3 linked regions of the Stegostoma tigrinum genome follow. The protein of the gene in region 2 purifies or fractionates together with the protein of the main gene of each other region. This does not show direct contact. Links are inferred from orthologs where the notes say so. Each region holds a gene or a part of one and is shown on either strand. Other genes may lie near its edges. The genes, in order: TRAF family member-associated NF-kappa-B activator-like, tnip2 and map3k8.

The links.
Region 1: the proteins of tnip2 (region 2) and TRAF family member-associated NF-kappa-B activator-like purify together in Homo sapiens (affinity purification with mass spectrometry; 3 studies listed by BioGRID and IntAct, with this or other methods). This does not show direct contact. The link is inferred for Stegostoma tigrinum from reciprocal best matches to the Homo sapiens genes TNIP2 and TANK.
Region 3: the proteins of tnip2 (region 2) and map3k8 purify together in Homo sapiens (affinity purification with mass spectrometry; 3 studies listed by BioGRID and IntAct, with this or other methods). This does not show direct contact. The link is inferred for Stegostoma tigrinum from reciprocal best matches to the Homo sapiens genes TNIP2 and MAP3K8.

What each region holds. Positions count from the first base shown.
Region 1 is NC_081360.1:59,987,031-59,998,059, forward strand, and holds the start of TRAF family member-associated NF-kappa-B activator-like, read left to right. Parts: upstream 1-6,594; 5' UTR 6,595-6,631; intron 6,632-6,844; exon of another isoform or gene 6,845-7,078; intron 7,079-7,141; exon of another isoform or gene 7,142-7,203; intron 7,204-11,029.
Region 2 is NC_081356.1:130,373,300-130,383,869, reverse strand, and holds the start of tnip2 (TNFAIP3-interacting protein 2), read right to left. Parts: upstream 4,054-10,570; 5' UTR 3,233-4,053; coding exon 2,885-3,232; intron 1-2,884. UniProt on the Homo sapiens protein: Inhibits NF-kappa-B activation by blocking the interaction of RIPK1 with its downstream effector NEMO/IKBKG.
Region 3 is NC_081355.1:126,052,202-126,063,288, forward strand, and holds the start of map3k8 (mitogen-activated protein kinase kinase kinase 8), read right to left. Parts: upstream 4,883-11,087; 5' UTR 4,757-4,882; coding exon 4,439-4,756; intron 3,139-4,438; coding exon 2,968-3,138; intron 564-2,967; coding exon 302-563; intron 176-301; coding exon 69-175; intron 1-68.

The sequences.
Region 1 (11,029 bases), on a different chromosome or scaffold from region 2:
GAGCTATCAGCAGAGTGTACAATGATGGTGATGATCGCAACAAATGTTTATATAAAGAGCTCTGGAAGGAGATTGAAGCTTTATCAGAGTCTAAAAGAAAGTGTTGGTCAACCATGTTGAAATGAAAATATTTAAAGAAAGCATTTTGGACTCAAGAAGCAGAACTCGGCAGAGTGTAAGTAGTTAAACACAAAATACATGCAGTAAAACACCAACTATTCTCTAAGTAGCCAGGTGAGGAGGGAGTGGGCTTGATGGTGCTTGTCAATGGGAATAGTGGAGCTGGGGTGAATGGAGGGGCTGGTGCTGGGTTTGAAAAGTGTAGAGCCAGAAAGGCTGGAATTCAGGGGATGCAGATCCAGTGGTAGCAGCAGGGAACTGGGATGGTGCAAGGGAGGGGAGCTAGGGGTACCAGAGTGGGTGGCAGACACGAGCTGGGTTTGCTGAGGAAGAAGGAGCGGATCTGAAGGGCTGGGTCTGCATTGTACTTGAGGGAACAGGACCTGGGGCTGCTGGGGAAGTGAGGAGGAAGAATGGAGTACGTTGCTAACGAGACCAGAGACGGGCTGCCAGGGAGTGTGAGGCCATGTACTAGATGGGGCAAGGTGCACTGGACGGAGCAGCACCAGGTGTTGATGTTGACAGGGCATAGTAACAGGTGTAGGGCTGGTTGCAGTTGGGACACTGGTATAGAGCAGAACCAGGGTGTTGGACAAGTGAGCAGAACCAGTGATGTATGTGGGAGAGGTCAGTGCAGGGGAGTGTGTGGGGAAAGTGGGCATGAGAGTCCAAGTGTGTAGTAAAACTATAAGTCTTCAGAGACAGATGGAGTATTGGTAGAGGAGGTGTCATGAGTTGCAGATGTCATAAAGTCATACAGCATGGAAACAGGCCCTTTGGTCCAACTAGACCATGCAGAACATAATACCAAACTAAACTAGTCCAACCTGCCTGCACTTGGCCCATAACCCACCAAACCTTTCCTATTCATATGTTCCTCTAAATGTCTTTTAAACATTGTAATTTTACCCACATCCACCTATTGTTCAGCAAGTTCATTCTGCACGCGAACCACCTTCTGTGGAAAAAATTTGTCTGTTATGTCTTTTTTAAATCTCTCTTTTCTCACCTTAAAACTGTGCCCCTAGTCCTAAAATTCCCCGTCTTAGGGAGAAGACAAATATCATCAACTCTATCTATACCTCTCATTATTTTATAAACTTTTATCAGGTCACCTCTCAACCTCCAACATTCCAGTGGAAAAAGTCCCAGCCTATCCAGTCTTTCCTTATAACTCAAACCCTCCATATCCAGCAACATCTTGCTAAATCTGTCCTGAACCCTCTCTAGCTTGGATAATATCCGCCCTATAACTGGATGACTAGAAGTGGATACAGCATTCCAGAAGAGGCCTCACCAATGTCCTGTACAACCTCAACATAATGTCCCAATTCCCGTACTCTAAGGACTGAGCAATGAAGGCAAGCATGCCAAATGCCTTTTCAGTCAACCTTCCCAAGTGATGCAAACTTTAAAGAATTATGTACCTTCACTCTGTTCCATAGCACTACTAAAGGCCCTACCAGTAATTGTGTAAGCCCCATTGATAAAGTAGACGTACAGAGAGTGTTTTCTTTCATGGGGCAGTCTAGAACAAGAAATCATAGTTTTCTGATAAGGGGTAGCATTGGAAAGACCATGAAAGACCTGGGTTCTCCCAGGACAAGTCTGAGTTGAGAACCACCATCACCGTCAGAAGATGTCAAGATCATCACTGGATCATGATTGTGAACGGATCTTGAAGGGTCATTGGTTGAGCTAGGCTGAAATTGGCGCATCTTTATGCTGGCTTCAGCAGCAGAGTTTCGGGGCTATGGCTTCTGCTAGTGCCCGCACGTCAGCCTAGGCAATTAGTGATACAGTCAGGGTGATTGTGAAGACGGTGGAGGAAAGGTCGCCGGTCAACCGGACCTTCTATGTGAAGAGACTTCTCCAGGATTGCTGCAGGATCCAAGCAGCAGATATTTTTTGTGAGTTTACAAGATCCTGTCCAAGAATTCTTGAAAAATTACTTCTGCGCATCTTGTGGATGGTGTATGTTGTCGCAATTGTGTGCCATTGGCGAATGCTCAAGATGGTGGATTGGGTGTCAAATTAACTGCTGAATTATTTGTTTTATTCATTTATGAGATGTGGCTGTTGCAGTTGGGCCAGCATTTATTGCCTATCCCTAATTACCCAAAGTCAGTTAAAAGACACCGTATTCTTGTGGCTGTGGAGTCACATGTAGGCCAGACCAGGTAAGGATGGAGGTTTCCCCTCCAAAAGGGCATTTGTGAACCAGGTGTGTTTTTCCCAACGTCAACAATGGATTCACAGTCATCACTACATTCATAATTCCAGATCTTTATTGAATTCAAATTCCACCGTCTTGTGTGGCAGGATTTGAAGCCAGGTCCCCAGAACATGAAACAAAAACAGAAATTTCTGGAAGAGCTCAGCAGGCCTAGCAGATCTGTGAAGAGAAATCAGAGAGAAATCAGGGTGGCATGGTGGCTCAGTGATGCTTCACAGCACCAGGGACCCAGGTTTGATTCCCACCTCGGGTGACTATCTCTGTAGAGTTTGCACGTTCTCCCCTCGTCTGCATGGGTTTCCTCCAGGTGCTTGGGTTTCCTCCCCCAGTCCAAAGATGTGCAGGGTAGGTGGATTGGCCATGCTAAATTGCCCATAGTGTTCAGGGATATGTCAGGTAGATGGAATGGCCATGCTAAAATTGCCTATATTTTTCAGGAATGTGTAGATTAAGGGGATGGGTCTGGGTTGGATTCTCTGAGGGTTGGTATGGACTTGTTGGGCCAAAGGGCCTGTTCCCACACAGTAGGGATTCTACAAAAAGCTGATGTTTTGGCTCCAGTTCTGAGGAAGAGTCACTGCACCTGAAATATTAACATTGATATCTCTCCACAGATGCTGCCAGACCCGCTGAGCTTTTCCAGCAATTTCTGATTTTGTTTCTGATTTAACGCATCCACACTTCTATTGATTTTTATTTCCCCAGAGGCCATTGCCTCCCCCTCAAAGTTTCTTGGATGTTTTTTGAGCTGCACTCAAGTGAAGCACATTTGAGCATATTTTAAGCTTGTGCTTCATAAATGGCAGGCAGGCTTTGGGGAGTCAACAGGTACGTTTCTTACTGTAGAATTTCAAGCCAACACCTACTTTGATACCAAAGTATTTGTGTGGCTAGTCCAGTTAAGGCTTTAGTTGATGGTTAACATCCTGGATATTGATTGTAAATGGCATGGAACATAAATAGGAGATGACTGAATTCTCTCCAGCTGGAGACTGTCATTGGCTGATAATTGTACACTATAAATGTTGCTTACCACTTTTAACTCAAGCCTGAATATTGCTTAGATCTTGCTGCTTCAGTATCAGAAAAGTTATGAATTACACTGAACAACATGCAAGCAACAGCAAACGTGCCCACCTTATGATGGAAGGCATTTTATTAATAAAACACTCGGGTAGAGAGAATCATTTTCAACATTACCTAGTGTGAGGGTAAGAAAGATGACACTTAATTTTGGGTGAATGGAGTTAAGATGGAAGGAGGTGAGTCTCAGATGAGATGAGATCAGGAGATAAACTTGAGAAGAGTGTTGCTGTGGTTGGTGGGGATTTCTTAATTCCAATTAAGTCCTTGAACCCCTCACTGCTGTTAAAAATGAGGAAAAAGGGAAATAGTTGAAGTTATACAAGAAACTGTGACTGCATGTAATTAGTGAAGGACAATAACTATTGTTTTTATCTAACTTACTGCCAGACATTTTAACAATCTGAGATAATAAAATGTGAGGCTGGATGAACACAGCAGGCCAAGCAGCATCTCAGGAGCACAAAAGCTGACGTTTCGGGCCTAGACCCTTCATCAGAGAGGGGGATGGGGGGAGGGAACTGGAATAAATAGGGAGAGAGGGGGAGGCGGACCGAAGATGGAGAGTAAAGAAGATAGGTGGAGAGGGTGTAGGTGGGGAGGTAGGGAGGGGATAGGTCAGTCCAGGGAAGACGGACAGGTCAAGGAGGTGGGATGAGGTTAGTAGGTAGGTGGGGGTGCGGCTTGGGGTGGGAGGAAGGGATGGGTGAGAGGAAGAACCGGTTAGGGAGGCAGAGACAGGTTGGACTGGTTTTGGGATGCAGTGGGTGGGGGGGAAGAGCTGGGCTGGTTGTGTGGTGCAGTGGGGGGAGGGGATGAACTGGGCTGGTTTAGGGATGCAGTGGGGGAAGGGGAGATTTTGAAACTGGTGAAGTCCACATTGATACCATATGGCTGCAGGGTTCCCAGGCGGAATATGAGTTGCTGTTCCTGCAACCTTCGGGTGGCATCATTGTGGCAGTGCAGGAGGCCCATGATGGACATGTCATCAAGAGAATGGGAGGGGGAGTGGAAATGGTTTGCGACTGGGAGGTGCAGTTGTTTGTTGCGAACTGAGCGGAGGTGTTCTGCAAAGCGGTCCCCAAGCCTCCGCTTGGTTTCCCCAATGTAGAGGAAGCCGCACCGGGTACAGTGGATGCAGTATACCACATTGGCAGATGTGCAGGTGAACCTCTGCTTAATGTGGAATGTCATCTTGGGGCCTGGGATGGGGGTGAGGGAGGAGGTGTGGGGACAAGTGGGGACAAGACACACTTGTCCCCACACCTCCTCCCTCACCCCCATCCCAGGCCCCAAGATGACATTCCACATTAAGCAGAGGTTCACCTGCACATCTGCCAATGTGGTATACTGCATCCACTGTACCCGGTGCGGCTTCCTCTACATTGGGGAAACCAAGCGGAGGCTTGGGGACCGCTTTGCAGAACACCTCCGCTCAGTTCGCAACAAACAACTGCACCTCCCAGTCGCGAACCATTTCCACTCCCCCTCCCATTCTCTTGATGACATGTCCATCATGGGCCTCCTGCACTGCCACAATGATGCCACCCGAAGGTTGCAGGAACAGCAACTCATATTCCGCCTGGGAACCCTGCAGCCATATGGTATCAATGTGGACTTCACCAGTTTCAAAATCTCCCCTTCCCCCACTGCATCCCTAAACCAGCCCAGTTCATCCCCTCCCCCCACTGCACCACACAACCAGCCCAGCTCTTCCCCCCCACCCACTGCATCCCAAAACCAGTCCAACCTGTCTCTGCCTCCCTAACCGGTTCTTCCTCTCACCCATCCCTTCCTCCCACCCCAAGCCGCACCCCCAGCTACCTACTAACCTCATCCCACCTCCTTGACCTGTCCGTCTTCCCTGGACTGACCTATCCCCTCCCTACCTCCCCACCTACACCCTCTCCACCTATCTTCTTTACTCTCCATCTTCGGTCCGCCTCCCCCTCTCTCCCTATTTATTCCAGTTCCCTCCCCCCATCCCCCTCTCTGATGAAGGGTCTAGGCCCGAAACGTCAGCTTTTGTGCTCCTGAGATGCTGCTTGGCCTGCTGTGTTCATCCAGCCTCACATTTTATTATCTTGGAATCTCCAGCATCTGCAGTTCCCATTATCTCTGATACCATTTTAACAATCTGGCTACTTTTATAGCCTCCTGCAGTGCCACAAGGATGCCACCCGAAGGTTGCAGGAACAGCAACTCATATTCCGCTTGGGAACCCTGCAGCCTAGTGGTATCAAGGTGGACTTCACCAGCTTCAAATGCATCCCAAAACCAGCCCAGTTCGTCCCCTCCCCCCACTGCATCACACAACCAGCCCAGCTCATACCCTCCATCCACTGCATCCCAACACCAGCTCAGCCTGTCTCTGCCTCCCTAATCTGTTCTTCCTCTCACCCATCCCTTCCTCCCACCTCAAGCCACACCTCCATTTCCTACCTACTGACCTCATCCGACCTCCTTGACCTGTCCGTCTTCCCTGGACCGACCTATCCCCTCCCTACCTCCCCACCTATGCTCTCCTCTCCACCTATCTTCTTTTCTCTCCATCTTTGGTCCGCCTCCCCCTCTCTCCCTATTTATTTCAGAACCCTCTCCCCATCCCCCTCTCTGATGAAGGGTTTAGGCTGGAAATGTCAACTTTTGTGCTCCTGAGATGCTGCTTGGCGTGCTGTGTTCATCCAGCTCTACACTTTGTTATCTTGGATTCTCCAGCATCTGCAGTTCCCATTATCTCTGGCTACTTTTATATATTGGCAGTGTGTTTTTGGGAAGGGATTTAATTTCATAGCATCATTACCAGATTATAGTGTACTTCTGGAGTAAGGCCCAACATTGTTTATCAGTGTAAAGCTTGATCTCAGGGGAAAGTCCTATCTCAGGATTTAAACAAGTTTGAGGTTAAGCAGCTACACACACATTCTAGTTTTAATCTTAGATTCTTGTGGGCACTTGATAAAGCAATTTGTTCCACTGGGGATGGCAGCACCCATGGAAAAAGGTGCAAAAGTGGTTAGGTCTCAGCATCAGACAAAAATCTGTTAAAATTAGCAGTGAAACAGTGGAGTCAGTCACGTCGGTTGTACTTCACGATAGTATGCTCATTTCCAAGTGTGGCTTTTTCAAAAAAACGCTATTTTAGTGGCTGTCTGCCTCTCTTCCAGGGAAATGGTTGTGCTTTTGGAGAAGGTAATCCACTTGGTGCTGATGCTTTCCATTATCAGTGGGCACAGCAGAGTGTGGGTACAGAGATCAATAAAAAAAGTTATGATTTCATTGAGAAGTGATTCATTTGTTTTCGTGATTATTTCGTCCTCATTTAGTCTGTCCTAGTGCTGTCGGGCCCAGGCAAGGCCAGGCCCCCATACCTCCCCGGGCTTGATTTAGAGAGTGCGGGTTATGAAGATGTACAGACGGGGCAGTTGTGCTTCCTTCCCCCTCGGTTTATGACGGGCTACCGGAGGGAGGGAGGGAGTGAGGAAGACGGAAGTCAGGCGGCGCTGAGGACGGGGATTCCCCGCCGGGAACTTCCGAGCTCTCCGTCTCGAGCGCAGCGCCGGACCGCAGCCAATGAGCGGAGCCGGTTTAAATTAACAACGGCCGAGGGAGCAGCGCGGTGGGGCTTCGGCTTGATCGGTGAGTCCGGGCCTCCATCACCGCACTTCAGGATTCATGATGCGACTGTGCTGGGGGGTGGGAAAGGCATCCCAGGCCTGGGGCTCTCAAGGAGGCCGTTGCCTTAAATGTCACTGATGTCTCAGGTGATTGCTGCTGAGGCCTACTGACAGCCTTTGGTCCCCACCAGCACTCATGTCCATTCGTGTTTCAGCGTAACTGATCAGTCAAAGTGCAGCTCCCTGCCGAGCCTCCAGTTTATTGGCTCTCGTTTGATTTGCCTGAAACTTAAGTTAAGCAAACTCTTGCATTTGCCACTTCGAGTAATCTTGCGTTTGTCATTTTGTTTTAAAAGTGAAAGTGCTCACACAAAACTAAAGTGTATGGACATCTTATCGTCACATGTTTCACAGGCACTTCCTTGGAGGTGATACAGGTTGTGAGTTACTGTAGGTGAAGCTTTGGGAATGACTTACATGTGTCTTAGATTAGATTCCCTACAGTGTGGACACAGGCCCTTCGGCCCAACAAGTCTACACCACCCTTTGGAGCATCCCACCCAACCCATCCCCCTATATCCCACACACCCCTGAACACTATGGGCAATTGAGCATGGCTGATCCACCTAACCTGCACATCTTTGGAGATAATGGGAACTGCAGATCCTCTGATGAAGGGTCTAGGCCCGGGGCATCAGCTTTTGTGCTCCTGAGATGCTGCTTGGCCTGCTGTGTTCATCCACCCTCACATTTTATTATCCTGCACATCTTTGGACTGTGGGAGAAAACCATAGCACCCAGAGGAAACCCATGCAGACACAGGGAGAATGAGCAAACTCCACACAGACAGTCACCTGTGGCTGGGATCGAACCCAGGTCCCTGGTGCTGTGCTAACCACTGACCCACCATGCCGCACCTCTTGTAGCTGCTGAACAGCCAAGGTAGAATCATGGAATCCCAACAGTTTTAGAAGATGGATAGTGTGCCAATGAAGTGAGCTGTTTTGATATGAAGGGTGTTTTATTTTTGGGCTTTTTTGTTTTGAAGCTATGCTCAACCAGGCATGTAAAAGGTATTCTTTTCTTTGTTTAACAGAGTGAGTCATAGAATCCCTATGGTGCCAAAAGAGGCTTTTTGGCCCATCTAATCTGTACTGACTTTCCAAAGACCATCCCACCTAATCCCATCAAACCTATATTTACCATGGCTGACCCACCATCACTTACATAGAGTCATACAACATAGAAACAGGCCCTTTGGTCCAACCAGCCCTTGTTGAACGTAATCATAAACTAAACTTGACCCACCTGCCTGATCAGTTAGGAATGAGTCCAGGGTGTGCACCCTACTGCGAGACTTCCAAGCCCAGAAGGTGCCCTGGATTCAGTCAGGGCAGACACCAGGTCATGTCACTTTGTAGAATAGGGTTGTGACTGCACCGGAACAATACCCTGCTGGGGGTCTGGCCTGTTTACCGAAGGGAGTGAATCCTGGATGTGTGAGGAAACCAGAGCACCCAGCAGAAACCCATGCAGACCTGGCAAGAAAATACTAACTCCACACAGACAATCGCCCAGGGCTCAACCTGGATCCCTGGTGCTTTGAAGCAGCAGTGCTAATCACTGTGCCATTGTGCTGCCCCCTAAAGAAGAGAGAACAGTGTGGGTGTGCGCGCGCGAGTGGATTTTCAAAATAGTCAAGCTACTATCTTCAGAAATTAAAAGTAGGAAAAGCTGGAAATAACAGTTTGTGGATAGGGAATACGGAGTTACCCGGGTTGATCACCTGATGTATTAACTTTGTTTCTTTGCTCATATGCTTATATTAGAAGTTTATTGTTTGGAATATGTACTTCTTCAGCAATGAACGGCTGATGTGTCTCCTCGGTTATATGTGTTTTGGGTCCAAGGAAAGTTGAATTGACTTGAGATTGCATGGGTAACTGTAGCACAGTGAAGCATAGTTCAGACTGGACAAACATTTTTAATCTGTGAAATTTGACTGTGCAGTTAACTCTGCTAATGTCTAAAATCTGTTTTGCTTCTTGGGTAATTTGCATTGTGCTTCATTCATGTAGAGAACTCTAATCTATAGTCAGAGAGATATGGAGCTTTTAGTACAATTTCAGGGTATCCAGGGCTGGTACTGTATGACTCTGAGCAAGAACATCAGAAAGAATAAGCAAGAGTAAGCCATTCAGTGCCTTGACCCTGCTGCGTCATTCCAGATCATCTACCTCTATACTATTTCTCCTCCCTTCCTCCTTGTCCTCATATCCCTTGGATTTAGAAATATAACAATCTCTGTTTTGAATATACTTTGTGACTGAAAATTCTTTCTCATTTCCTGACCTGCTGCATTGCATCTTTTTTATGATGCTTTCTGAAAATTCATACATCACATTCACTGGTTCTCCCCTTTATCCATTTTGCTAGTAACATGGTCAAAAAACAGGTTTGTCAAGCGTAATTCCCTTCAATGAATCTTTGACATTGGCCAATCAGATCATTATTTTCTAAATGTCTAGCTTTTTTCATAATAGATTCTAGTAACTTTTCTACTAACATTAAGTTAATAGGATGGCAGTTCTGCACTTTATCCCTCCTGCCTACATTAAGTAGTCATATTACATTTGCAGGCACCATTCCAGAATATCTAGAGATTTGTGAAATGATCACCAGTGAGCGCACAATGTGCACAGCCACCTATCATCAGGCCCAATGCGTTTGTCAATGTTCAGTCCTGTTAATGTGTCCAGTACCACTTTGTTAACTTGCATTTTTTTTCAGTTCCTCATTTTTGCTAGTCCATTGAATCTTTATTTCTGGTAGGTTTCATGTGTCTTCTGTCATGAAAACTGGCACCAAGTAATCATTTGGCTTCTCTGTCATTTCCCTATTTCTCTATTATAAATTGTGTTTAAAGGAGCCACTGTTTCTTTTTACTTTTTTTTCCTTTACATTGCTGAAGGAGCTTTTCCTGTCTGTTTAAATATTTCTTGCTAGTTTACATTCACGTTATTTTCTTCTTTTATCAGTTGATCCTCCTTATGTTCTAAAATACCCCTAATGATAGGTTCATTACCTTTTTATGCAGTTTTATATATCACCTGCTTTGATCAAGTGGAAACTTTAACTTCCTTTGTCAGTCAAGATCTACTCACACCATTTTGGGTTTTTTACTACCTTACAGAGATGTATCTTTGTTGAAAACCATGTGTTAATTTTTGTTTTTGCAAATGAGCCACCAAACCTTTTTCTGGGTGACAGCCAGTGACTCAATGGGTACTTTGGGGATCAGAATTTGTACCCCAGCTAGTCACAATATACACATGAATGATTTAAATGAGGAAATTAAATGTAGTGTTTCTACATCTGCAAATGGCACAAATTTGAATAGGAAGCTGAACTGTGAGAAAAATGCAGAGATGCCTTCAGTGTGATTTGAACAAGTTGACTGAGTAAGGAAATGTATGACAGATGAAGTATTATGTACATAAACGTACATAAATACTTTGAGCAAAAATAGGATGGCACATTATTATCTGACTGGTGATAGATTAGATCAGGAAAGGGTGTGGTGCAACGAGACCTGGATGTCCTGTACACCAGTTGCTGAAAGTTAGCACACAAATGGTATGTTGGCCTTCACCATAGGAAGATTTGAGTACAGAAGTAGGGATGTTTTGTGGTTGCACAGGGTCTTGGTGAGACCACGTTGAGAATATTATGTACAGTTTTTGTCTCAATATCTGATCAAAGTTATTTTGGCTAGAAAGTGAGTGTTGTAAAAGTTCACCAAACTGATTCTTGGGATGCAGAACTTTCATATGAAGAGAGGTTGGTTCAGTTAGGACTATATTCACTGCAGTTTAGAAAAATGAGGGGGAACCTCATAGCAACTTTTTAAATTCTAACAGGATTTGGATGTGAACATAGGAGGTATAGTTAGTAAGTTTGCACTTGACACAAA
Region 2 (10,570 bases):
GCCACTGAGTTTCCTGCATAATCTCTCAAATTTCTCTGTAGCCATAGCTGCTTTACCCCAGGGACTGAAACTTACATGGTATTAATAGATCAGTTTGATTTACACGTGGGTGGGATAAAAGAGATCACGCAGAAGGGGGAAGTTCATAATTATGGCAGTCACAGAGTGATTCTGGAAGAAGCAGAACCTCTGCTGACACAAATCAATTTTGGACGCACAAATTCACAAGTATTTGGTTATTCAAATCAAGGATATGCGGGCATTGCTGGAAAGGCCAGCACTCATTGCTCATCCCTATCTTGGGGGAAGTGACTTGCTCGGGCCATTGAGACTCCATCACTTTGCTGTTGATCAGGAGTTACATGGAGACCAGACTGGGCAAGGACAGATTTCCTTCCTTATAGGAAACTTGTAAACAGAAAAATCCAGTAATTTTGTGTTTGCACTTACAGATGCAAATTGATGCCAGATTTATGTTATCAAGTTAGTTTAAATTCCCCACTTTCTTGCTGAAATTTGATCTCAAAATTATCAGTCGCAGCCTCTCATACTATGTTGACGTTCTTCTCTGTTCTCAGTTCAAAAGGACCACATTGAGTATTTTCATATCATATCATATCTATTGGAAGAATGACCAACATGCTTTGCTCTTAATTACTCAATTGCCAAGCAGTCACTCTACTGTATCAAACCACCATTGATATCGTAACAGTGGGCCAGCTCCACCTTCTCTGAGTAACTTGGGACAGTCACTAAAACAATGTCTTTGCCAGCGATACTGACATCCTGAAAAAAAAATCAATATTACAGAGATGTGTTGTTGTGAATGGATGTCAGACATTCTAGGAACACAAAGGGTGCTGTGAATCAGTTGGGTGGACAACAGTGGAGTCATGAGGAAGAGAGGACTTCATGGAGTAAATGCAGAAGTTAGGAATTTTAAGGTTGGAGGCTTCTAGCTTCAGAAATGGAAAAACAGGAAAACCAAATGTCTGGCCAACAGCAAGATGATTGGTCAGACGTGATTCAGTGGATCATACTTTCATCTCTGGTTCAGAAAGCTGCAGGTTCAATTCCTACAGCAACGCAAAATCTAAGCTCTGACATCCCCAGTGTCAGAATGAAGGTGACTTCTTTCAGCTGGGATTGACATAAAGATTCAATGGCCCCCTAATCAAGGAAGAGTACAGGAGTCTCCCCTGGTGACCTGCACAATATTTATCCCTCAGTCAAAATCGGGTTTATTTGAAAACACAAGCTTTCAGAGCCTCAGTGCTTCTTCAGGTGTTAGTAAGAGATAGTGATACCACCTCTCTCACTAACACCTGAAGATGGAGCGAGACGCCAAAAGCTTTGGTTTTGAATAAACTTGTTGGGCTAAAACCTGGTGTCATGCAATTTCTGACTATCTAGATTGACACTCCTAGTGCTGCACTATCAGAGACACTGTCTTTTGGATAAGGCTCTGCGGGCCCTCTCAGGTGATAGCACACTACAGTTTTGTGGAAGTGCAGAGGTATTCTCCGCAGTGTACTTATCCCTCAGCCAATATTACTGTAACAGATTCTGATCTTTATTACCTGCTGTTTTTGGGAACTTGAGCCTAAATTGCGACAGTGATGGCACTTCAAAAGTACTTTATTACCTAGAAATACTCTGGGACAAGGTATTACAAAGACAATGTGTTTCTCTAATTTTCTCATAAAAAAAGCATTCCTTTTAATGTGGCTGACATTTAGGAAAAGAAGAAAAATGTAATTTTTACTCCTTAAAAAAAATGTATTCTTTGTTTCTCCCTCATTGGGCTGTGGTCCCCAGGGCAAAGTTACCACTTATTGGCCATCTTTAATAAGAAAGTAATAGTGACTCTTCTGGACCTCTTGGGAGAGATTTGATACAACTGAGTGACTTGCCACCATGACCATTATTGGGCAGAACTGGAGTCATACAGGTAAGCCCGAGGGGCTGTTTTCCTTTCCTCAAGGGTATTAGTTGAATCAGATCTTATCCTCCCGTATGCATTTGAGGGTGCCTGAAATCTAAAGACGATTTCAAGGTGGGTCACTAGCTGTCTGGACTCCCGGCCTCCGAAGGAGGGAAGTTACACTGTTACGTCAACTGAGACCAATGCTGTGTATCAGAACCCACACAATCAGCTTAGGCAGGCTTCAGTTGATTATTTTTGTTAAAAGACATCCAAAAATACAGTTCATCCAGATCAGTTGTTTTAACTTTGTGCGACATCCCTTCGACACAAGTTGTTACAAGCACAGGAGGCGGCCATTCAGGTCACTGTGCCTGTGCAAGCTTTCTAAAGGAGAAATTCATTTAATAATATTCTCCAACATGTTCACATAACTCTGCATTTTCTTCCGTTTCAGGTAAGTTCACATCCCTTTTGAATGCTTCAATTGATCCTGCCTCCACCATGTTCTCCAGCAATTCATTCTAGACCTTAAATGCTCAATTTAAAAAAAAGTTTCCTCAATGCTTTTGCCAATTACTTTAAAATCTGTGCCCTTTCATTCCTCCATCATTTCATAAGTGGGAACATTTACAATTTACTCTGTCCAGACCTCCTGATTTTGAATAAGCCATGAAACAAATTAATATCAATTAAATATCCACTTAATCTTCTCTGAAAGGACATGAATCCCAAAATCTCCAAACTATCTTCAAAACCAAAACTCCTCATTCCTAGAACCATTCTGATAAAAGTCAGCATCTACTGATTCTGAACAAAAGGGAATTCCTTACCCCAGCAGGTTTTACTCACTTGTGAATTAACCTGGATTATATATTTTCACTATGCCACAGGAAGATTTTTATTATTTTTCCAAAAATACTAGACACATCTTTACAGATAGATGTTTTTGCCCCTTACCTCTTTCAGCTTGGTGTTCTCTTGCTGCCAAATCCTTGCTGAATCCGCCAGCTCCTTTTTGACTTTACCCACCTCTTGCAGCAGACAGTCCACAAGGGAGCCGGACGGACCAAAGCTGACCCCGGGCTCCTGGCCGAAACCGACCGCGATGCTGCCCTCGTAGGCGGCCAGGCGAGCCTGCAGGTCTTTGACCAGGCCGTCCTTCAGGGTGAGCTCCCGACTCAGGCGGCCCACTTCCTGCAGGGTTTCGTGGTAGAAAGTGGTGATGGTGTTGTAGCTTTTTAGCCTGGCCTTCGGAAGCCGGCTGTCCTTTTGCTGCTCCGCATTCTCATCGCCGTCCACAGACATTGTATATAAATGCTGTTCTGAATGCGACCTCCCCCGACTCGGGAAGGGGGGGAAGCAATCAGTCGGGATTTTCTTCTCGAAATTCTTATAAGTTTTTAGAAAAAGAGATATCTAAACGAAGACATTGTGTGCTGTGTCAAATTGTTAAAAAAAGTTGCCAAAAAAGTCGACCCTCGGTCTCTAAATATATATATATAGATTACTGTCTCAATTTTGATTCAGAGGTTGCGGACAATGTTAAAAATGCAGTAATTAGCACAAATTGTCCGTACTTTCTGAGTAGCATTGAAAGCTAATTAATGGGAGACACTGTAGCTAAATGTGGATTCTCTGGAGCGTTCACTCCGACAGGCAGATAGTAAATATGAAGAGATTAAACCTTGTCCTAGGGGCAGTGACTGACTGTATCCATTCCGTTCCCTCCATGTCATTTCGTAATCGGCGTATTTCCATCCAGCAGCTCGGGAATTTCCTCCCCGGGGGATCCCCCTCCTTCTCTGGATTTTTTTTCGTACTTTTCTCTCTTTTGAAAAATAAGGGGCCGATTCTACTCCGCTCACTTGCCTGTGTCCGTCTGGTTCCAATTACCATTTGCTAGTTGAAAGCTCCAAGAAAACCACTCGTAACAAAAAAACACAGGAGCAGGTCTACTTTTTTTTTAAACATTAACACGTGTCTGACTAGCCGGAACTAACTCGGTTGATGGACGTTTTGTGACGTTCTGACGCTTCCTGCTCGGATTTACCCTTTTGCTTTAAATGAGGGGTTTACAACCTTTAAAATCTGATCTTTTTCTTCGACCTCCCCCTCCCCTCTCAAAGTTAACCGTACACATGTCACATTCGTTACACAACACTCCTTCGCCCAGTGGGCGTGTGCTGCCTGTTACAGCAACATCCGCTTCATGTTATTTCTCCTAATTTAGTTACAGTTTCATGTGAATGTGAAAGGCGAGAGAAAGCAATTGGCACTGATTCTCCCAGGAAAAAGGCAAGGTGGGATGGTGAGCGGGCTGTTTGTCAGCAAGGAAGTTTTGTAAATGAAGCTACCGGCCGAAAAAGGTTTTTCAAAACTACACGTTAGAATTATTTGTGTGGGTTTTTTTTCATCAATCAATTCCAGGAAGTGATACATCACCGATCCTTCACTGACAAATGACAAATGATAACTCCCTGTGGGGAGTTCGGATACGATTGTTGAATAGAATTTAGACCACAGATATAGATCCTGTTGACACTTCCCAATGAGGGACAAGTCTCACCACATTCTCTCTCCAGCGGTGTGTTTATTAAGCTTCCCCTGAAATGTTCTTGGCCTTAACTCCTTGTGGTAGTGAAAGATAAACAAAAAATGCTGAAAGAGCAAATCATGTAGGCAGTATCTGTGTCAATGGATCTGTGACCTTTTCATTGCTGCTGTATAATGATTCGTCCGTCCTGCCCATCGTGAGCTAGCATCCACTATTCTCTCTCCTGATAGGGCCTTCTTGGTTTGGTGTGCTGGAGAAAAACAGATTTGATAGTTTAACAAGAAAGGGCTTTTGTTTTTATTAAGATGTTGGTTATTCTAATGATAGCAACTGATGGAATAGACTGAGAGTATGGGCTCATTTGGTACAGTGGCAATGACTCTACCTCTGAACCGGGAGGCCTGAGTTTAGTCCCATTTGCTCCAGCATGGATTAGAAACTGTCTAGATTGAGATTAAGGAGGACCTAGATTGTTGGCCATTTGCTGTTCACAATCCTAAACTTGGGCTTTGCAAGGTGGGGTGGATCGAAAGCTCAAGTGGGGTCAGAACTGAAATGTTGTCATCCTGAACTGTGAGGCAGCAGTGGTCACAGTGGAGCCCTGACTGAGTTATTACCAGCTGTGCTCCCAGTCTGACAGGAACACCCCCTCACTTCTGATCTACCACTCAACTCTCACAGTTCACACTGTGGGATCAGATCAAATTTCAAGGCTGGGTGTGGCTTCTGCAGGAACAGATTGAGGAAGGACTATCCAAATTTACCCTCCCACCAAGTCCCTATGATATCATCATAGTGGATGGTGCTTAAGACATTAGGGACAATTAACCCTTTCAAACCCTGACACAGACCACTTTGAAAAAGGCACTTTCTCCTGTAAATCTTTTTGGATCGTTTGGGGACTAACTCCTACTTTCTCCTCTAGTTTAGGATGCCATCTCAGCAGGTATCTTGGCTTTGCAAATCATTGGTGCAGATTTGTGGGCAACATTTGGCCCATATCCGTCTAAACCCTTCCTCTTCACGTACCCATCCAGTTGCCTTTTAATTGTTGTAATTGTACCAGCCTCCAACACTTCCTCTAGTAGCTTGTTCCATACATGCACCACCTTGTGCCTGAAAAAGTTGCCCTTTAGGTCCTTTTTAAATCTTTCCCCTCTCACCTTAAACTTATGTCGTCCAGTTTTGGATTCTCCCACCCCAGGGAAAAGAACTTGTCTATTTAAGATAACAAGGTGTAGAGCTGGATGAATACAGCGGGCGAAGCCGCCTCAGAAGAGCAGGAAGGCTGACATTTCAGGCCTAGACTCTTCTTCAGATCCTTGTCTATTTACCCTGCCTCTGTCCCTCATGATTTATAGACCTCTATAAGGTCACCCCTCAGCCTCCAACGCTCCAGGGAAAACAGCCCCAGCCTTATTCAGCTTCTCCCTATAACTCAAACCCTCCAACCCTGGCACTCTCCTTATAAATCCTTTCTGAACATTTTCAAGTTTCACAACATCCTTCCTATAACAGAGAGACCAGAATTGCACACAGTTTTCCAAAAGTGACCTAACCAATGTCCTGTACAGCCGCAACATGACTTCCCAACTTCTATGCTCAATGCACTGACCAATAAAGATAAGCACACCAAATGCCTTCTTCACTACCTTGTCTACCTGCGACTACACTTCCAAGGAACTATGAACCTGCACTCCAAGGTCTCCTTGTTTGGCCACAGTCCCCAGGACCTTACCATTAAGTATAAAAATCCTGCCCTGACTGACCTTTCCAAAATGCAGCACTTCACATTTATCTAAATTAAACTCCATCTCGCACTCCTCAGTGGCCCATCTGATCATGATCCTGTTGTACTCTGAGGTAACATTCTTCACTGTCCACTACACCTCCAATTTTGGTGTCGTCTGCAAACTTACTAACCATACCTGCTATGTTCACATCTAAATCATTTGTACAACTGACGAAAGCAATGCACCCAGCACTGATCCTTGTGGCACACCGGTCTCCAGTGTGAAAAGCAATCCTCCATCTCCACCCTCTGTCTCCTACGTTCGTTTCCAAATGGCTAGTTTTCCCTGTATTCCATGTGATTTAACCTTGCTGACCGGTCTACCATGAGAAACCTTGTGAATGCCTTACTGAAGTCCATCTAGATTAAATCCACTGCTCTGTCCTCATCAATCTTCTTTGTTACTTCTTCAAAAAACTCAGTTAAGTTAGTGAGACACGATTTGCGGGTGCAGAAGAAGAAACATCTTAACCAGTACAAGAAAGCAAGTTTAATAAATTATTTAAGGTTTTAGCCAAGATCTGTAGCTCGGGTTGTGGGTGAGGTTGTTGACTTGCTCACCAAGCTGGCTTGTTCTCATTCAGACATTTCATCACCACGGTCGGTGATATCAATAGTGGAGTCTCTGATGAAGCTATGTTATTCTACTCCATTTGGAATTTATACTGCCTGGTCCATTATGGCGAGTAATGTTATTCCCAGTTCTGATCTGTATGGATTTGTATATGGCATCCAATTCTATTTGCTTGCTGAATGTTTGGTTTTGATCTGTATGGGTTTGTATATGGGGTCCAATTTTATATGGTTGTTGATTACATTACGGGTGGAGAACCATGCCTCTATAAATTCCTGTGCGTGTCTTTGTTTGGCTTGGGCTACTACAGTTACGTTGTCCCAGTTGAACTGATGGCCTTCGTTGTCCAATTGTGCTGATATTAAGGAGAAATAGACATGCTGTTTTGCTACTAGTTGATTTTTGTGTATTCTGATGGCTAGTTTCCTTTCTGTCTGTCTGATGTAATTTTTGTGGCAGCCCTTGCATGGAAATTTGTAAACTGTGTTGGTTCTGCATGTTGTGGGAGTGGGGTCTTTAATCCTTGTGAGTGTTCCCAAACATGCAGAACCAACGCAGCCATCAGAATATACAAACATCAACTAGCAGCAAAATGACACCATGAACTTTCCTTAAAATCGGCACACTCGGACAACGAAGGCCATCAGTTTAACTGGGACAAGGTAACTGTAGTAGCCCAAGCCAAACATAGACGTGTACAGGAATTTCTAGAAGCATGGTTGTCAACCCATAATGCAATTAACAAACATACAAAATTGGATCCCTTTTACAAACCCATACAGATCAAAACAGGAAATGACAGTACTCACCATAATGACCAGATGGCGGAGTAGAACAACATCACTTCATTGGAGGCCTCACTGATGATGTTACCGAGCATGGCGATGAAATGTCTGAATGAAAACAAGCCAGCTCTGCGAGCAAGTCAACAACCTTTAATAAATTATCTCAATGTTGAAAGATTCCCTTAGGCAACATTGACCATAACATGGTAGCATTTAACGTTCATAGAACATAGAACATAGAACAACACAGTGCAGAGCAGGCCCTTCGGCCCTCGATGTTGCGCCGACCTGTGAACTAATCTAAGCCCATCCCCCTACACTATCCCACCATCATCCATATGCTTATCCAAGGATTGTTTAAATGCCCCAAATGTGGCTGAGTTAACTACATTGGCAGGCAGGGCATTCCACGTTCAGTTTGGGACTCAGTAACCTGGATCGGAAACAACTGTGTTAAACCTAAAATAATTACAAAGCAATGAAGGCAAAGCTATTTGGAGTGTACTGGGGAAGGAGTTTTCATAGAATCCCTACAGTGTCTAAACAGGCCATTTGGCCCAACAAATCCACACTGCCCCTCTGAAGATCATCCCACCCAGGCCCACTCCCTTATCCCTGCATTTCCCATGTCTAACCCACCTAACCTAAACGTGCCTGGGCACAATGGATAATTTAGCATGGCCAATCCACCTACCCTGCACATCTTTGGACTGTGGGAGGAAACTGGAGCATCTGGAGGAAACCTACACAGACACGGGGAGAATGTGCAAACTCCACACAGACAGTCACCGAGGCAGGAAATGAGCCCGGGTCCCTGGCGCTGTGAGGCAGCAGTGCTAACCACTGAGCCACTGTGCTTCCCCCAAGTTTATCCCCTTCCGACAATTCTTCTTTCTCACAGGGATAAATCTTTATGTTTTGTAGGAAAGCCAAATGGCAGACATTTAAGAAAATAGTTAATGGCTCACAACAAAGATTTATCCCAGTGAGAATGAATGATTGTAGAAAAGGGATAAACTAAACATGATTAAGGATAGTTAGGGATAGCATAAAACAGCATAGCAAAGATTAGTGGTAATCCAGAAGATTGGGAAAGTTTTAAAAAGCAACAAAAGAAAAAAATAATAAAGAGGGAGAAAATAAACTTTGAGAGTAAACTTGCAAGTAATAACACAACAGGCAGCAACAGCTTCTTTAAATATATAAAAAGGAACAGAGAGGCCAAAGCGAACACAGGCCCCTTAGAGAATGAGGCTGGGAAAATAATATTGAAGAATAGGAAAATGACTGAAGCAATGAATAAGTACTTTGCATCAGTCATTACTGTAGAATACACTAGTAACATTCCAAACGATATTGAATCATCAAACAGAAAATAAGCAAGGAAATAAACACAATGGTTATCACTAGAGAATACATACAAGGGAAACTACTATTATATCTCATGGATCTGATGTGTCACGTTTTAGGATGTTAAGGGAAGTAGCTGCAGAGACACTGCTGGTAATTCTCCAGGAATCCTTAGATCCTGAAAATATCTCAGAGAATAAAAAACTATACAAGCAAGGAACAGGAGGTATCTGTTTAGCCCCTTAGGCCTACTTCATTACATCACAGTAGCTGATCTATATCTCTGTCCAATTGATCTGCTTTTGCTCCACATCCCTTCCTGAATCAAAATCGAACTTTCAGTCTTGAGAGTTTGGATTCGTTCCCATGGAACATGAACAGCTGTTTTGGAGTGAAGAGCCCAGAGATTCTCTATCCTCAGTGCAATTTCCCTCCTAAATTATCTGGTTCTAATTTTAAGATTATGGCCCTTTGTTCCTTCATTCCTCTGTTTTTTCAGTGACCCTATCAAATTTGTTTTTTATTATTATAAATATCACAATAGTAACATTCCCTCATGTCGAAATTTGTTAAGCAGCCTGTCACATCCTACAGTTTTCACTTGCTAATGCCTCAGCTAACCAGATTTGCCAACCATTCAGCATCTTTTTCCCTAGAGTGTAAATTGTTGTGATTGTTTAAAAGTTGCCATTCTTGTGTTTGTCCTGATTAGATGTTTGGTTCAGCAATGTGTCTCTCTTTTCAGTAATAATCAAGTTGAGAATACTGGCTGGTGAAAGTTGTTATGCTAAAACAGTTGTGAAAACCATAATCAAAATGCAGAGAAAGTTGCCAACTACCACACAGACTTTGCAGAGATTAAAGAATTATCCAGAAAAAATGTCATGTTTGGCACTGGAACAAATTCCTTTGAATACTAACTTCGAGCATGCCTGGGCACAACGGACAATTTAACTTCTAACTCTGAAGATGAGGTAAAAGGGTTGCCTGATTAAGCAGGGTGATTAGAAAAAGGAAGTCATGCAATGATTTCTAATAATACATCCAACTTGAGTTACCATCACCATAGAGAATGTATTTTGTGTGGTCTGGGTATATTTGGGGAATCTTACCCAAATGTTCAAAACGTGCCTTATTACTCAGATTTTGATTGATCGGATATATTGCTGGAATTCTCTGTTTTCGCCTCACTAATTAAAGCCTTCTGTCAAATTTCTATAAAGTTCCAGCTTAGAGTACATGATCCAGGCTGGAGAATACCATATGCCTAAGAAGAAATCTCAAAAAAAATTGAAAACAAAAGCATCTGCCGTAAATCACCACTGCAGACTTTCTCATTGAAGCGACAATTATTAATATACATTTGTTTTGTACCATTGAAGGCAACAGCATCTGAGAAAACCCCAGTGATTCAGTTCCCAGTTTAGTCTTTCAAGACAGAATCTGACACTTTGTCATTCTTTGTCTTAGATTTATACCCAGTGACGTGATCAGAAAGACCGAGAGCCAGAATGTGTGCCTTCTAGCAATTCAATTTGAAACTGAGCTGTAGCTTGGTTGTTGTGAATGGTTGAGTTGTGAATGTTGA
Region 3 (11,087 bases), on a different chromosome or scaffold from region 2:
TAAACATATTTTTTGGAAAATGTGGCCCTACATAACTGAAGTGCTGGGAACACAATAACCATTCTCACCTCTGTTCCTCTAATGTCTCTGGGAATGTAGGTTTCTTCAGTCATCTGGACAGAAAGACCAAAATCTACCAGCACTGCCTTGGTTGACATGAGAACTATATTACTGGCTGTGAAAACATGAATAATAAGACAAATGAACAAGTCGTTCTAATGTCTGCTTTTGCAGTATAGGCTTTTTTATTAAATTGCTGTTACACAAGAAAAGTCATAGGAAGGGCTAAACAAAAACTTACGTTTAATGTCATGATGTATGACATTTTTGGAATGCAGGAAGTCAAGTGCTTTGAGGACATGTTTGGTCAACCAAATGATTTCAAATTCTTTCATTGGCCCACAACTTTCTAATTTTTCTGCAACGGAACCTCCTTCTCCTGCCTCCATGAAGAGATGTATGGTTTCATTCCACAGTAAGGCACCATATAATTCTGCAATGTTCTCATGGCGAAATTGTGCTTGTATTTGTATATCAGCAGGCTTAAAAAATTCCACTGGTATCTTGAATTTGAAACAAAACGTCGATTATATAAGAAAAAGAGCACATTTATTTCATCAATTCCCTTGTCCCCTGTCCCACTGGCAATAATCCAAGCTGAAATATTGCGTCCCCTAAATGGTCATTCATGGTGTGAGAATAATATCAAAATACAAAGGGCTGAAATAGGCCATTCAGCCTACTGTGTCACCTTCACCAATGAAATCATAGTTGAACTGATAATTCTCAACTCCACCTTCCTGCCTTTTCCACGATCATTGATTCCCTTATTGATTAAAAATCTCTCAGCCTTGAACATATATAATTACACAGACCCACAGACTGTGAGATAAGGCATTCCAGAGATTCACTACTTATAGGGAGAAGAAATTCCCCCTCAGCTCTGTCTTAACCGTGTGACCCCTCACTTTGAGTCTCTGGTCCTAGACTCCCCTACATAGGGGAGGTTTAACAGGGTGAATGCCAAAGAATATTTTATAATTTAATCAGGTAATTCTTCTAAACTCCACTGATTACAGGTTCATTCTACTCATATGAAATTTACTCCACACCTGTAGTAAACCTAGTGAACTGCTTTCAGTGCTAATATATCATTCCATAAATCAGAGGACCAAAATGTTCACAGTAGTCTAAGTGTAGACTGTAAACTTCAGGAGGTTATTTAATCACTTAGACAGCCTGATACAGTCCTCAGTTAGCATCTAAACACCTTCACACTATGAGAGTTGGAATCATGGTCAGCCTTTCCTATTATTAGCCCAGTGATACTAAGGCCAGTTGTACTAACTTCTGGCATTGTATTAATTAATTCAGAACAAACCAGTAGCAACATTCAGTTTATTGTCATTTGTCCAGCTCAGGAATGCAACATATAATGCACACACCCACATAGCAATGTGGAGAACCCCGAAAAGGTAAGGATACGCTAAAATCACTTAACTTTCAACTTACATTTTCAAGAAAATCTTTTTCTCCTTCACCTCTCACCCTTTTTGTTTTCCACTTATTGATGGTTTACCATTGCACATTTTAGCTTTCCCTTGGCCACCTACTGGCCAAGCTACAAGCACAGCTGCAATGGTTGTCAGATTGCTCAGTTGGCTGGATGGCAAGCACGTGACGCACAGTGGTGTGAGCTCAATTCCCACATCAGCTGAGGTTATCAATGAAGTGCTGTCCTTCTGAACTTCTCCCCCCACCTGATGCGTGGCGATCCTCAGGTTAAACCTCTCTAATGACACAGGAGCCATATGGTCCAGTAGGGCTATGGTCGGATTTACTTGTACCACGTCACCCCTTGTTTAAATCCAGAGAGACAAGTGAAAATGGTGGGACATGATTTCCTCTCCACCCTGTAAACTTATTTCCTGTCAAATTAAAAGAAACACTTGGCTTTTGATTTCATTTCCTCTGACAGCATATTTGAAAGTGGGAATCTGCTTCATGAACATCTTTGGTGTGATTACTCCTCCTGCTGCTGTGTGCTCCAAACACATCTTAACCAAAAAAAAAACTTGGGTTTGCCATTTTAACGCTTTCATTAAATGCAATGTGCAAATGTTTGGAGAACTCATTTAAGACATTTGCAAATATACTTACTTTCTAGATCACTAAATCATCAGATAAAGGTCATGACACTATTGGGGTTATTAGTTTTATACATTTTTATATTTACAAAATATGGCTTGTTGGGGAAAAAAGAATTGCAGAGCAAAATAAATGAAACCAGTCAGTTTGTTAACTATAAAACCACAGTTTTCAACATATAGGAAAGTCAATTTTAAATACAAATTATAGGAACTTCTTTCACCCAAATAAAATAAGCATTGCAGTTGCAGGGGTAACTTTCCTGTGTTTGTGCCCAGGTACATTGGATTGCTTGGCTGCAGTGAATGACATAATGGACCAGGATGGAGTGCACATCTTTAAAAAAATGCTGTCAAATTTTTATTTCATTGAAATGCCTTTATTCATTGAAATTTTGAAGATTACAAAAGGAAATAACAAAAAAAGTACTGATTGAAGGAGTACATTTCTACTTGTGCTGTTGGACTCAAATACCAGGAGTCTCAAACTAAAATTAGGAAGTTAGGAATAAAAAGGGAAGTCACATGGAACCACTTCTTGGCAAAGAGTTGTCATGCAAATTACAAGAAGGCGGCATTAAAGTGAACAATATAAATAAAATGGGTCTGAGAGATCTAGATGTGCTTTTCAAGACAGATTAAGTTGAAGAATTAAGATTACTCAAAATGTGTTGGTTTTGTTAAGGTAATTCACATTTTTACTTACTAAAATTATTATATTCTTATACAACTTTGTAAAGTTTCAACAATAAAGATATATGCTTTGAAAATATCTTTCAGTAGGTAAAAGAGTGTATTCACAAAATGCTAAGTGACTTACTAATTTACATGCCATCCGCTTCTTTGTTTCTCTGTCCTGTGCAAGGTGGCACTTTCCAAAAGTACCTCGAGGAATGTAACCAGGACCAATGTTCCTATGGGCAAACTTCCATGGAAACAGGAAGACTTCTGAATCAATCTGATAATGTCCATTTTTAATAACTATATCCTTCTGTGGAATAAATAGAAAGCCACTAAAAGAAACTGCAATAAGAATATTTGTTTAACTTTTCCTCCCACAATGGCAATTTGAGGAAAATAGGCCTACTGTAAATGGTAAACGCACATCTGCACACAAATAGCACTTGTGGTGGATTTAAAAATAGTTTAAAACTAGGTTGTGCTGCAGAATATTTTCCATTCATCAGAAATCTAGCAGTCACACATTGCAACACTGTGAAATCATGAGGGGCAGAGATACAGTAAATAGCAAAGGTCTTTTCACTACAGTAGGGGAGATCTAAACTCAAGGCATTTTTTTAGGGCGAGAGGAGAAAGATTTAAAATGGCCCTGTGGGAAAACTTTTTCACATGCAAGGTGATTCATATGCAGAATGAACTACCTGACAAAATGGTAGATGCAGGTACAGTTATAACATTTAAAAGACATTTGGACAGGTACATGAACTGGAAAAAGGTTTAGAAGAATATGGGCCAAAAGCAGGCAAGTGGGATTGTTTAGTTTGGGAAATTTAGTTGGCAAAGACAAGTAGGACTGAAATGCCCATGTCTATGCTGTATGACTCTACAGCTCCATAAAATGCTGTATTTCAGATGTGATACTGAACTAATGCCTCATCTGTCCTCTCTGGCAAACGCTAAAGATCCCTTAGCAGTATGTGTAAAAGAGCAAAGATAATTCTCCCAGTGTCCTCAGCCTAAACTAATATCATTTCCAAAAAAAAGCATGACTGTTTGTGACACCTTGTTATGCACAGAATTGTTTGCCGCAGGTGACCTGCAATTTGTTACTCTGGAATTGCTCATAGTTCTTTAACATCACATTTGCAGTTCCCAACCTGTTCTAGTTAGATCACGTTAGCATTTTAAAAATGAAGTAAAGAACCTTGTTTCCGAGCGCACGGAATAAAAGAAAAACTAATTTGCTGCACTTCATGGTTTCAGTTGATATTAAACAAGTTGTTATAGAATTTCTTCAGGCAAATTAGACAGGCTTCTGGCTGTTTAAATTATAACAGCGACCGCACTACAATAGTACTTCATAAATTGTAAAACAACTCGCGACGCCCTGAGATAGTGAAAGGCGCTATATAAATTCAAGATTCTTATCTGTCAATATCCAGTATATTCAAAAAGATTTGGATCCATTTTGGACCAATTTCCATCTCAAGAGACGCTACAAAATCATGGAACACAAGTCTATTTGAAAAGCGATTTTTAAAAGGCGACACAGTAGAAACTACTGTATTCTAAACAACCTCTTGCATGTACACAAAACATTCCTCGCTCACCTTGTTTAATATTACTCCTGTCTCGCGGTTTCGGAAGCGTTGGGGGTAATTGCGGAACGTATTAGACACCTGATTTGCAAAGTTAAGTAAATCTTCCACTGTGCCATATCTGACAGAGTAGAAGGTCGGCTGTTGACCGTCCCTGGCCCTATTCTCTGGCACTCCTTCATCCGAGTGCTGCTCCAGCGAAAGCATATTGTCCTGGTAGAGTGCTGTGTCCTCCAAGGGGTAAAATGCCTCGAGGTAATCCATCACATCTAGCTCCAGCAGCAATTCCAACCTGGCGTTATCGATACTTTGGGTCAGCATGTACTCCATTGCCTTTCTCTTTCGATCACTACAGTCTGCCCTGACAAAACAGATGCAGCAGAAAGCATCAGCACCTCATCACAGCAGAGACACACCAGCAACAGCGGCGGCGTCTCACTGCTGCCATGATCCCGCTCTAGCTCTACTGCCAAGCATGTGATACCGAGCAGAGATTCCCCAGCTTCAGTGAGAAGGGTGGAGCTCAGCTTTCAGTACACGGAGCCATTGACAACCGAGTGAGTGGGCGGCAAGCTCAAGGGGGCGGGACACAACCTAGACGGGGTTGCCCCAGATTCGACAGGATTACACAGCATTACTATGTCTGTGCCGTGATAACTCTACGACGGTGTATTACCAATAACAGCCCTCATTTAAATGCAGGTATTTCTTTATGAGATGAAGTAAGGCTGCTGGCATGGAGTTGTATCGAATGTCCTATTACTATGCTGTAAATAATAAGTAATATTCTACGTAAAATATAGCTGCGCAGCAGGGGCGGTCAGCTAGAGGCTCACACCGATAAAAGGAGAAAGATGAGTTTTCCCACCCCCCCCCCCGAAAAGTTGTTGTTGTTTCAGATTCCAGCGTCCACAAGTATTTGCTTTATAACAAGATACAAACAGGTTCACTTATGCATTTCTCTCCGCAGATACTACCAGACTTGCTGAGTTTCTCCAGCATTTTCAGTTTGTTTCAGATTTCTAGCACCCACAATATTTTGCTTTTATTATCACTTGTGCATGTTTAAAAATTCAGTCTTCAGCATACTTCAGTTGGATGTATTGCTCATACGTGAGAAGGTGGTGGTGAGCCACCTGCTTCACCCACTGACTCCATCCAGTGTTGCTACAGTTTGCTCTTAAAGAGGGCACTCCAAGTTTTTGATCCAGTGACAATGAAAGAACCACAATATAGTTCTAGGATGCTGTGAAGCTTAGAGGGATCTTGTAGGTGGTGGTGTTGCTATGCACACACTATCCTTGTCCTTCCTGATGTGAGTTTTGAAGATGCTGCCACAGAGACACTGAGCTGTTGCAGTGAACATTGTAGATGGTACACACTTTGTTGGAGGTAATGAATGTTTAAGATGGTAGAGGATGAGGTACCAATCAAGCGGGCGGCTTTGTCCTAGATGGCTGGGCTTCATCAGTGCTGTTGGAGCTACACCAGTGCAGGAAAAGTGCAGAGTATTCTATCAACCTGCCTTCTGCCTTATCGTGGTGGGTAGCAATCAGGAGACCACTTGCTTCCACAGACTTTCCAGCTTCTGACCAGCTCTGGTAACCACAGCACGCATGTGGCCGATCACTTTCAGTTTCAAATCAGTGGTAATCCTCTGGATTCTGTCCTTTTATTTGCGCTGTATTAATCTAAAGAGTTTTTTTTGCTGATGGTGCAGCAGTTGACAATGGTAATGCCATTGAGTGTTCGGGGTGGTGGTTGAAATCTTTCTGTTGGAGACGTACAGTGCCTAGGACTTGTATGATATTGTCAGACCAAAACTGAGTGCAGTCTTATTGTGAGGAATTGCAAACAGAATTGAACAATGCAACCAATGAACATTCACATTCTGATGATGATAATATTGATGGCGGGGGGGGGGGGGGGGGGGTTCGATGAGACAATATTGGTTTAGCCTAGGACACTATTTCGAACAATGAAAATACATATACGTTCTGGGGGGAAATGCTTCGGACCATACTGCAGCTATTAACCCGAAAAGAGCTGACATCTACAACAGGATATTACAAAAATGGGAGTTGCTAACTGTCCATTAATGAACAAACCCAATCCTTCACTCTAAATCCTTCACTCTACCACCAGTCACAGCACCTCCCCACCATGTCATTGGGGTAAACGCGATAATAAAATCCCCATGTTGACGAAAATAGACTTAACCGTGAGGGGTAAAAACATCTTCCGATTGAATGCACGATACCCAACCGGAAAAGAAAATGAAAATACAAGTGCGCACTACTTGGCGCCATGTAGCCCTCACAGTAGCAATGACTGGGGAATTCCTCCGGCGCACACGTCCTCCACAGTTCATGGAAGGCTACCCTTTACCGCATCACCAGCCTGTTTATCATATCGGTTATCCATTCTTCGGTTTTAACCCTTGAGTCGCTGTCAATTTCGCTAACATTCTTCGTGACCTGGTCTAAGAGTTTCTCTTATCAGGTTCAGTCAGCAAGTGAGACTGACTCCATTTAGTGTTGAACGGGCACGCCTGCATTTTATTTTCAAGAATAGTATTTTTGCAATGTCTTAGTCATAAAATACCGATCATCAAAATTTTAAACCTAACATTGAGTGTGATTATCACTAAGATTTTTGTTCTAAATACTTTCGCGCTTCATTTTGACATTTTCCGTACTTTGAAGACAGTATTTTGGCTCTGATCGACCCGAATAATAAAGTAAAAGATTGTTTTTACTTAATTGACTGCAGTGTTGGTGTAATGGTGCCACATACTCAGGGCTGTGGGTGTTGACATGCCGGACACGATTAGCACTGGCTTTGTACCTGTTTCAAAACGTGGGTCGCCGATCATCTCTTTAGAAGATGATATACCTTAAAAATGTAATCTCCATTACCAAGAAGTCGCTTCCTGTTTTGTGGCGCGGTCATTCACTGGTCCTTTATGTGACAGGAGACTGTCCGAAGTACGTCAATGTTACGCACAGTCAGTTTTTTCCATCGACAGAAGATACGTTTTCCTTTTCAAAATTTAGCTATCTGAATCTGGATCATTCTTTGCTTTAGAAACTGCGTGATACTGATTCTTGACATCGCCACATAGAAAAATATATTTTACTTGTGAGAAGAATAGATATATGAGGGAGATTTAATAACTCACCCTTTTAAACAACAGACACAGACTCAAATACTCTTCGTATTTTTGGAAGTGTTTCAATTTGGCTTTCAATTACTAAGCCACTGAGTTTATATTATGATCTATTAACATTTGTGTTTGTAAAACTGTAACACAGAGATGCACCTGTGAATAGATTGGCAGAATACCAGGATTGGAAGAATTTGGTTTACACAGGTCTCTACGATTGTCTCCAGCACTGCAATTAATTGCTTAGGCTGTGATGTGGGAAGGGAAACTTGGCAGCTATTCTGCATATGGCAAGAACTTCAGCACCATTATACTTGACTCAAGGCCAGCTCATGTTCTCAGTGAAAATTCACCAAAAGCAGACATGCTGGAGAAAGTCATCAGAACTTTGTTCTGAAGAAATCACATTGGATTTGAACATTAATTCTGCTTCCTTGCACAGATGCTATCAGACCTACTGAGTTTCTCCAGCATCTTCTGTCTCCAGGATAAGAGTATTCAAGGACCAGGGAACTTTAGAGAACACCAGAAGAATTGGGGTGAATAGTCACTTAGTCTAATAGCTTGCTCAAGGAAAACACAAGGCTGGAAAACAGAAATAAAAACAGAGAATGCTTGAAATATAGCATTTGTGCAGATAAGCAAAGTTAACCCCAGTTCTGATGAAAGATCATTAACCTGAAATATTAGCTTTGTTTCCTTTCCTGCAGATGCTGCCAAATCAGATTAAAAAATGTAGGAGCATGCCAATAAGAACAAAAATAGCAGCAGGAGTAGGCCATTTGGCTCCTCAAGCCTGTCCCACCATTCAATAAGAATATGGTTTATCTGTCCAAGGCCTGAAATTCTCTTTTGTGCCAACTCCTCAAGGTTGTCAATTCCTTCATATTTTAAAGATCTTTCAGTGATCCATCCTCCACACTCTCTAGGGTACAAAACTTCAGCCATTTACTCCCTTTGAGGAAAGAAATTTCTTTGGTTTTAGTATCCCTTATTCAGTAACTATATCTCCTAATTCAAGATTACCCTACAACTGGAAACATCAAAATCTACTTTGTTGAACCCCCTTGGCATCTTATATATTCAATCTAATTAATTCCTAATTCTTTGAAACTTAAATGAATTAAGGCCTAAGCTATTTAGATCTTCTTAGTAAGCCAAACCCCTTCATCCTAGAAATCAGCCTTGTTAATCTCTTTTTGAACTGTCTCCGATGCCAGTATATCCTTGTCTAAATATGGGGGCCAAAACTGTATGCAGTACATAAGGTGCAGCTTCTTCAATACCCTGTACAGTTGTAATAGGACTTACTTATTTTTAAACTCCAACCCGAGCAGTAAAGGCTAAAACATTGCTCTAACACACAGGGAGATTGAGATCATGCCCCCATAACATTATTCAGGGTCCTTCAATGACTGGCCCAGTGATATTACAGTTAGATTATTACCTCGCAGGAGACAGCAAGAACTGCAGATGCTGGAGTCAGAGTCAATACAATGTGAGGCTAGAGGAACACAGGTCAGGCAGCATCAAAGGAGCAAGAAAGTCGACTTTCAGGTCTGGACCCTTCATCAGGACTCAACTCCTGGTGAAGGGTCCCAACCTGAAACATTGACTTTCCTGCTCCTCTGATGCTGCCTGGCCTGCTGTATTTCTCCATTACCTCCCCAGTTTAGATCATGGCCAATCCCCTTTCTTGCCTTTTCCCTATGCCACTTGATTCCTTTACTAACTAAAAATCTGTATTATCAGCCTTGAATATTCTTGGTGATCCAGCTTTAACAGCTGTCTTTGGTAAAGAATTCAGCAGATTCACTACTCTCTAAGATATTCCTCTTCATTTCTGTCTTAGATCAGTGAACACTTCCTCTGAGATTATGTCCCCTGTACAATAATCTCTCCACATCTACCTTTCAAGCATACTAAGATTCTTTGAATCTAAGAAACTAAAATATTTGAACAAGGTTGCCTCTCATTCTTCTAAACTCCAATGAGTACAGGCCCAACTTACTCAACTTCTCATATGAAAAATCCCTTCGTACCTGGGATCAATCCAAGGAACCCTCTTTGGTCAGTGTCCAATGCCAGTATATTTTTCCTTAGATAAGGAGACCAACACTGTTTCATAACCCCTTGAGTGAAGTAATTCCTTTTCATCTCTGCTTTAAATCTGTTTGCCCTTATCCTAAAACTGTGACCTCTTGTTCTAGAGGAACACCCGCTCGACTCCTACTTTGTCAATTCCCTTTAAAACTTATATTTTCCTCATCAAATCTCCTCTCATTCTTCTAAACTCTACAGTGTATAGATATAAATTGCTCAGTTTCTCTTCATAAGAAAACCCTTTATCTCTGAAATCAGAGAGAACCTCCTCTGAACTGCCTCCAGAGCCTCCTTCAAGGGGTTTATTTGAAAACACAAGCTTTCAGAGCATAACCCCTTCATTAGGTGAAGTGAGAAATCAGCACACAGAACACACCGAATTTATGAGTAAAAGATCAAGAGTAAAATATGAGGATGTATTAAACAAACCTAAGAGGCTGTTAAATCTTTCATCAGTCAGAAGGTTTTAATTGATTAAAATGTACACGTAAATCCCTGAATTTCTTTCAAGTCACTGCTCTGAAAGAACTAAAGGTGTTATCAGTGTAAAGAAGAGGTGACATTTTAGGTCAGACAATGTATGTTAGGTGTGAGGCCTTGTTTAGAATCTGTTTGTTATGGTTTAGATTCAGACAGGTTTAATTTCTAAAGTAGGAATTTATAAAATGCCACATTGACTGGCTGTCTTTAAATTGTGATCAGAGATGATGGGAACTGCAAATGCTGGAGTATCCAAGATAACAAAGTGTGAAGCTGGATGAACACAGCAGGCCAAGCAGCATCTCAGGAGCACAAAAGCTGACGTTTCAGGCCTAGACCCTTCATCAGAGAGGGGGATGGAGACAGGGTTCTGAAATCAATAGGGAGAGAGGGGGAGGTTGACCAAAGATGGATAGAGGAGAAGATAGGTGGAGAGGAGAGTATAGTGTGTATGTGTGGGAAAGAGAGAAAATATGCATGTGTATGTGTGAGAGACGGTGTGTCTGTGATATTCTCTCTTTCTCTCACACAGGTACACACACACACACACACACACACACACACTCTCCTTCCCACAAGTACACACACACACACACTGTCTCTCCCCCCCCCACCGTACACACACTCTCTCTCTCCCCCATACAGGTGCACAAACTCTCTCTCTCTCTCTCTCTCACGCGCATACACACGCGCATACACACACACACACAAATCATCTATAGGGTGAATTTGTATTTGCAAATACATTCTATTTTGTCCAAAAAGCATACAATTTATACATAGTCAGATAACATGGCATTTTATAAATTCCTTCTTTAGAAATAAAACCAGTCTGACTCCAAAACAAAACACAAACAGATTCTAAACAAGGCCTCACACCTAACATGCATTGTCTGATCTAAAATATCACCT